2 linked regions of the Oryzias latipes genome follow. The protein of the gene in region 1 interacts with the protein of each later gene in a pairwise test. Links are inferred from orthologs where the notes say so. Each region holds a gene or a part of one and is shown on either strand. Other genes may lie near its edges.

What was found.
Region 2: the proteins of dusp12 (region 1) and serine/threonine-protein phosphatase 2A regulatory subunit B'' subunit beta interact in binary tests that used the Homo sapiens proteins (3 or more experiments, as listed by UniProt). The two-hybrid records come from large-scale screens. The link is inferred for Oryzias latipes from reciprocal best matches to the Homo sapiens genes DUSP12 and PPP2R3B.

What each region holds. Positions count from the first base shown.
Region 1 is NC_019875.2:21,143,540-21,147,491, reverse strand, and holds the start of dusp12 (dual specificity protein phosphatase 12), read right to left. Parts: upstream 2,801-3,952; 5' UTR 2,641-2,800; intron 2,581-2,640; exon of another isoform or gene 2,523-2,580; intron 1,696-2,522; 5' UTR 1,694-1,695; coding exon 1,431-1,693; intron 1,256-1,430; coding exon 1,142-1,255; intron 368-1,141; coding exon 249-367; intron 162-248; coding exon 74-161; intron 1-73. UniProt on the Homo sapiens protein: Dual specificity phosphatase; can dephosphorylate both phosphotyrosine and phosphoserine or phosphothreonine residues. Can dephosphorylate glucokinase (in vitro).
Region 2 is NC_019879.2:6,992,253-6,996,314, forward strand, and holds the start of serine/threonine-protein phosphatase 2A regulatory subunit B'' subunit beta, read right to left. Parts: upstream 2,801-4,062; 5' UTR 2,623-2,800; intron 2,083-2,622; 5' UTR 2,051-2,082; coding exon 1,697-2,050; intron 1-1,696. UniProt on the Homo sapiens protein: The B regulatory subunit might modulate substrate selectivity and catalytic activity, and might also direct the localization of the catalytic enzyme to a particular subcellular compartment.

The DNA.
Region 1 (3,952 bases):
AAAAAAATAAGATTTTTATGCTAAAGAAAATTTAGCCACTAATTACCATATCTAATATTTCTAAGCAATTCACCTGCACTTCCGGCATCTGTATGACACCTCGGAGGAGCTGGAGTGGGCGGGGTCATTAGCAAAAATATCTCTTGGGACTTGCTGCAACTCTGCTTATACACAAATAATAAGAAACAAAAGTTGGGAAAGGAATTCCCTCCTGGTGTTCATCCACAGCAGCAAAGCTTTGCTTTCACCTGGATATCTCTCTGCAATCTTGTTCAGCCTGTATTGTTTGTACAAAGCACTAGATGTGTCCACCTGACATAGCATGGACTCATACAGCTGCAGCTGCTCTTCAAAACCCCTGTTGACCCTGAAACACACCCAAAAAAAAAACAAATGTTATCTTTTAAGCTCTTGTTTTAAATACAGTTTTACCTTTTGCTGGTGTATACATGACAATGCACTTATTAAGATTTTTTTAAACTTGTTTTTCTGAAATGATAAAAAAAAATCATGGAAATAGTCCCCATAAAATCTTTTACCCTGCTTTACTTCTATATTCCTTTATCAGGTTTATAACAACTGATTTTTTTCATGTACATTGACTTTCAACGTCTGTTATGTTTCTAAATAAAAGCTTCAGTCTTTTTTCAATGTTCACTTCTGGTGAAAATGCAGTTCAAGTCTTCAGTTTTCTGAAAAGTAGATGTTGGAGGCAAATCAGCCACAAAGGAAAATATGTCATAGCCAATCAAGAGACAGATGGGACAAAGATTTCCTCTCTACATGCTCCTTCTAAAATCTTTTTCTTTTTTTTTGCTGACATTTGTTGTGATAAAGTGACAGAAGATGTATTCAACAGAAGTTAAGCTTTCTTTAATAGCAAAAAAAAAGCTGAGTTTATGAACCCCCACATTTGATATAGGTTTAATTAATATTTTTATTAATGAGCAGCCCACTAGAAGCACTTTTAGAATTTTTTTTAACTGTAATTTCCAAAAATATATTGACAGAAACATGAAAAACTTTTTTTTCACAGCCAATTGCTTACCTACAATGCTGACAAACTGACCTAGCCAATTTTGAAATACCCTTAACACAAACAGAAGACATACTGGGAGAGAAGGGAATGACAAATACTTACTGAACATCTTGTTTGACACTTTTCAGTCTTTGGTAAGCTTCAGGGAAGGCCAGATGGTGTTTCTTCATTAAATATGCAGTCACAATGGTGGCGCTGCGGCTTCGACCTGCATGACTAATGTGCACAAAAAATAGTTTTTAAATAAGCGTTGTCCTTCTGCATTTTGTGCTTTTATATGTCGTGTCATCATGCACCAAAATGGATTCAGATTGCACATGGTTGCATAAATTCAAGGATGGAATGCGTGGAAAACACAGAAAGGAATAATGAAGCCATATTTGACTCTTACCAGTGAACCAGTGTAGCTCCGCCCCCTTTTACAGCCTCATCAATGAATATGTTGCAGGCGTCCAAGTAACTGAGCAGATCAGTCGTCTCTTCATCTAAAGCATTGATCCACTTTCTGATGAAGTTTCCTGTGGCAGGAATCTGTGGACCAGGATCCACAGATTCCACAGACAGGATGTGGGTGACCGAAGCTGCAGCGAGCGCCTGGCAGTCGTTCAGGTCAGCTGCAGTGCCGATGTACACTCCTGGATCTACGAGCAGCATGACTTCAGAAAAACACACAGGGATTAAAGGAAAGTAAAGAGAAAAATGAAGAAAAGTCCTCAATATTACTGAGCACAGGAAGAGTTGTGGAGCAGACCATCTGATCAGTTTGATCTGCGGAATTATTGAGATATTGAAACTGGCCCATTCATTTCCAGGTAGAATCATTTTAGCTACACAGAACTTTCTGGCCTTTCACAAAGCATCTCATTTGTTTAAATGAAAAGCAAAGTGAAAAAACATGATATTTTGTTTTCTTTGCTTACATATAGTAATAAAAGTATTTGTAAAACGTCTCTATGAAACAAAAACATTCCTCACTATAAATAATTAAAAAATCTAAGGATACAGAGTGAGTGAAGAGGATTGAACGTCTTACTACTTACTGCTGTCTGTGAACTGTATTATGGAATTAGTGTGTATGTTAATAAAGTCATAACACATTTTATGGCAAATATGCTTATTCTTCTTCTTTTAATTACTTAAATAAGGGGGTGTGACGTCACTAAAATATGTTTATTTGAAGATTTTTATATGTTCATCCCCCCCTCCCTCCCTCCCTCCTTATGTTCACTATTTCAACTTTTAAAAAAAACGCAGCATCTTCCACGTTAAATGTCTTTCCAATTTTTACTTTTCCTTTAATTTTTACAAGTATCACATTTTGTTGTGATAATTATAAAAACTACAGTGTAACACTCAAATGTGTGACTGGTTCTCTGACCACAGAGCAATACGGATTTAAATGGCATCACCGAGCTTCCATCTTCATCTTTAATTTAGGCTTAATGTAACCCAGCCTTCTCGGGTCACATACCAAGACAATTACCTGATTTCTTACCAAACAGCAACGCCCTGCTGCTAAACACGCGTGCACATAACACCGTGGTGCTGTGACAGCCAGCCTCGCAGTTAACTAACTCCGTTAACTAAACTCGTTAACTAACCTCATTTACTTGAGTATGTCGTTTCTTTCCTTCCTGCAAATTTTGGCTGCTTCAAACCTCAAAGCATCAAACGTGCAAAACACACAAAAACTAACTTTAAGACGGACCCTAAAGGCGTGAGCACCAACGGGACTGGTGTTTTTGTTCGTCTCTTAAAGCTGTAGGGAGGAAACACGACATCATTTTATAGTTCCGCTGATGATGATCGCACCAACACGTGTTTTTTGTGTTCTGCTGGAAGGTTTGATATTTTTACTAAAACAAAAATAATGTCATGACCTACTCCTCTTGCTCTAATTTTTTACAAATTTTTATTTATAATAACCATGTAATTTCCCAAACCCAAAGATTCATATAATGCATGCAGCAACAACTTAATAAGGGGTCATGTCTGAAGCTTTCGTGAGCCCAAAAAAACAGCTCTCTCTGATCAGAAAAGTTTTAAGTGATCAGGGAACTGTTTAATAAAGTTTGCCTAGCATCAATCTGAGTCTTAAAACTTAATTTTGCCTTTTCTATTTCTGTTTTCAACTTTTTTGTAGCAGAATTTTGTCATAAATATGTAACCAACACGAAAAGAGATTCAGAGACAGAGCTTTTCCCATTTAAGGTGTTTTTTTTCAAATAGTTTAACTCATCATTGAAGCAGACTCACACAACTAAACACACACATTTTGCTCATATGGCAAACATAGATTTTCTACTGGGAAGAAATTTTTTGTTCTGTAGTAATGTAAAATCTGAAGAACTCTATAAAATTTGGGCCTATTTTAAGAAATCAATAACATTTTTTACACACACTGATGTCCTGCAGACATTTACATAAAAAAAACAGAGTTTTCCAACCATATTATATTTTGTTAAGCGTGTATTAAAAGCAATAGTTTTTAGGATTCCAATTGACAGCATATACTGAGAATGTAGATTCAATAAAGCCTATTGTTGTATTTGTGTCAGTCAGACTTGACTTGATTACCACAGTGAAATAATGTGTGAAATAATGTGTTGTGATGGGGCTTTTTTTATGAGTGAAAGGTTATCATGTATGGAATGATTTGGGATGGGTCTGAGCAGGTATTAAGGAGAGCAGATTGACCCCTAATGTGCACCTGGATGTTACTGATCCAAAAACATTCAGTCATTGACCAAATGGTTGCTGGTGTTAGTTTTTGTTTTAAATTACAATTTTTATTGCAATTATTAAAATACGATAACAATAAAAGAAGAGAAAATAATATTTCCCAGAGAGAAGGCCCTAGTTTGAATCCTGGCTGGGACCTTTCTTTGTGGAGTTTCCATGTTTTCTTATGGC
Region 2 (4,062 bases), on another chromosome or scaffold:
ACAATCTGTTTCATATCAACAACATCGGTTCGTAGCATGACACATCAGAATACAAAAACCGTCTGAACGCTGCCTTGTTTTAGTCCAAGAAAGGGCATTGGGGGCAAAAGTTACGAAGAAAAAGAATAAAAAGAAATTTCATTTTTACAAGTAGACCCGTGCATTTTGTAAATTCACACATAAAAGACAGACTATGAAAAAGGGGAAAACTCCTAAAAAATATCAAAGTAAGCCATATTTTATTGTTTACATATGTAACATATTACCCAAAATCTTTACTCAACACAAGGCAAGTTATTTGTCAAATTACAAAAACTAAAAGTATTTCCCCATTTTTGATATCATTTTGCATTTATTAAAAAACTAATTTGAAGTGATATTTGTTGCTATTTTTATTTTAAAACCCGTCAAACATTCTTTTTTAATTTATGAATATGTTTAATTATATTTCTAATCCAGCATAAACCTGCCAGTCAATGTTCTCTAAATTAAATTTGTAACAGAATTTTAACAACCTGTTAATTTAAGATGGGGGAAAAAGTGTATAGGATGAAATACATACATATGTGCACAGATTTGAAACATTTCTTGTTTTTACTGAAGGCATTCCAGTTGATTCTTGAATGTTTCCTCATGCCAACGGTTAGCGGGTCAACAACATGTGGACGGAGGAGTCTTCGGAAGCACACGCATTACCCGCAGCTGTCTGGTTATCTCACTGTCATCACCATCACTAATGTTCACAGTTACAAACAACAGCATGATCCCTTCAGACGACACATTTACCGACGTGCTGTTGAGTTGTTGTGCACAGGTTGTTTGCTTTTAATAAAGGCTACAGGTCTTAAGCAAAGACGATCTAAAACAAGCTTGAGGAAAAACTGGTATAGGCTGGGTCCAGACACTCCTTACTCTCAAATTACTCAAATGTGTAGGTGAGGTCTGAATGCTTAGTTGACGGGATGTGAAACCACACACAACTAAGCACTTCCCTCGCATGCCTACAAATAAAGAGGCCCTGCTTTTAAAGCAGAGACTGGAGAGCCTCTCCATGTCGTCGGCTTCTCAGCAGCCTCTTGTGGCCGCTAAGTGGAAGTGAAGATCCAACAATCAGAAAATAAGAACCCTCCATGAAATTTTAGTAATGATGTCACTACATGAATAACTGGAGGACAGTTATTAAGATTTTACACTATAGCAGTGAACATATGTGAAAAAAGTATATGTAAAGTAATATGCAACAAAAAAATGATATAAAAATGTTAAATAAAAACTAAACTAGCAATGCCCGTGTTAGGGTCTTTTTTAAATGTAAATTTAAATGTTTGAATGGGCAAAAAGAGAACAAGTTGTTACACAATCTTGACTTTTTTTTCTTTAATTGTCTTTACTGTGTACTTGTAGATTTTTTTAATAAATTAAATAAAAGGCTAAAAGTAAAAGTTGACTATTGATCACTTTTCACAGAACCTTTGAAAACTATGCAAATTTAATTATTTACGATTTAAGGAATTTGCAGAATTTAGAGGTTTTTTTTTTGTTTCCATGTCTTATTAACACTAAAAATTCTTGATAACATTTGTTTTTATGTATTTTCTTTAGTTTCAGGTTGCTCCTGTGAGGGCAAATCTTGATTGTAATTGTAGTTTTTAAACATCAGATGTGTTAATAGCCTTACGTCATAAAAAGGACTTACTTTCTTTGAGCTGACGGAGCGGCGTAGTAATCTGCCACCAGGTCCTGGTACTCTGGAATTACTGTTACTGCCGGATGGCAGGGTACTGTTGGATGCGGAGCCGGAAGGGTTGCCCAGTGAAGCCGGCTTTTTCTCCACCAGATTCTTCTGGGATGCAATGTTGTTGTTTTCGTTGAAGCTCAATGACTTGTCAGCCTGACTGTTCTCCCCGCCTGAGCTCCTATATTGTCCATTTTTGATCTGGTCAAGGTATTCCTTGAGGACCAGCTGAGTTTCAGGATCGCTCAACCAGTTGAGGAACAGCTCATCCACCTTCAGTTTGAGAACCGGTTGGAGGACTTGTGGAGGCGGCATGCTAATAAAGCTTTCAGCTTTGACGAATGTACCTGTGTCAACAAACAAACAAAAACAAGTAACACTTAACTACATCACTGACCAGTGACGTGTTGCTTGTTTAAGGAAACATTTGATAAGTTTGTGCCTCCAATTGGCTAAAACACTGTTACTGGCATGATTATAATGAAAGTACCATCTTTTCCGCAATAAATCCTGACAGGAAAACATTAGCAATAGCTGCTTGGGAGTCAAATCTGCTGTGAAGTCTGATAGTCAAGCAGGAAGTCATTAAAATGATTGAATGATTGAAGTCTAATTCATCGATGCGTTAGCCCATAAGGGCAAAAGTAAATCAATGTGAATATAATTTGACCCAAATAATACATTTCACTTCTGGCTACACAGAATATATCTACAGAACTTGAGGGTTTATCAAATAAAAATAACCTAAAATGATCTCAGTTCATAATAAAGAGTAGCCATTATTAGCATTTCATTTTAATGTTGTCAAACGAGGCTTAGAAAAGAACAACGGTGCTAGCAAAAGAGCTAAGGCGGGCTAATGACAACTGACTTATTAATATACAAACCTCGCGATTATTAGGCAACTCCAGATGTGTTGACAAGTCATCCCGTCAGTTTTCCTTCATACGGGACGCTAAAGTTTGTCTGTGGGACTGAATAAAAAAACACAATTGTGACTACTCGCTTGCCGTTTCGGCATATCTGAATGAAACACAGCAAACAACTTTTTGAACTCACGCTCCTCTAGTAACCACAGGCTGTTATCGCGAGACTTTCCTTACCAACAGGAAAGGAGGGAAAACGGGTAGAAAAATAAATAGGGGCCGGGGGATTAGTCAAAAGTCAGCCTTTTCACAATTAAAATGTGGAAAATTTGGTTTTTATCTTTAAGGTTTTAATTCTTTTCCATGTTGAAAGTGCATAAAGATATTCGTTTTTCTTTTTTGGAGTAGTTGTACATTTACCCCTACCACACAACTAAGTAAACAATACTGAAACGTTACATACAATTGTAAATTCAATGTTAAAGATTTTATATGGTTAAAAAAAATAAACCATTAGTTCTGCTTAATGCTACATTCACAGTCACATAAAAAGAATGATGTACACTTAGTCTTATTCATACTTGTCTGTTTAAGTGTACTACTAGTATACTTTGTCAGATACTAAAAGTGAGGCAGTATACTTGAAGTTGACTTTTTATACTATCTATATTGTAAAGTTAAAATGAAATGTTCCAATTTAGTCTGAAGAAGTATGAAGAAGTATTACTAAATAGTATTAGTAGTAGGCCATACTATCTACACTACACGTATGGTTTATAGTAGACTTACTATACTCAAGTGGCGGCGTGGTGCAGCGGTAGGGCGGTCGTCCCATGATCGTAAGGTTGCAGGTTCGATTCCCGCCTTGCACGCCCATGAGTCGAAGTGTCCTTGGGCAAGACACTGAACCCCACCTTGCCTCTGGTGGTAGGCGGGCGCCTGTGTTTGGCAGCGGAGCGACCACCAGTGTGTGAATGTGTGTGTGACTGGGTGAATGGGTCTGTGACTGTAAAGCGCTTTGTCCTTGTAGGAAGAAAGGCGCTATATAAGTATACGCCATTTACCATTTACCAAGTATTAATAAAATAAACTTCAAGTTTGCCTCTTTTTGCAAAGTTATATGACACCAGTTTCTCATATAGTTATGGAGGACTTATTCCGATTTTGACTTTCCCACATTTTTTAACCTACTTTTGCCTTCAAATAGCTGAAACAGAAACACATTAGTGTTTTGGAATCGGCCTACATCATTTAAATGAGTTGACGCTCTTTTCAGGTAGTATAAATATCACAAATGTTTGTGTTGTGTAGTCTGGTGCTCCTGACGCCCATATATGTTTTCTTTTTCCATTTTTTTGTTGCTCTTTTTCTTTTGGGCAGAAGTCATGAAGCTATTTTGTATGTTGCATTTTATAATGGTTATGAACATTATCCTTACTGCTTTGGCACAACAACTCATTG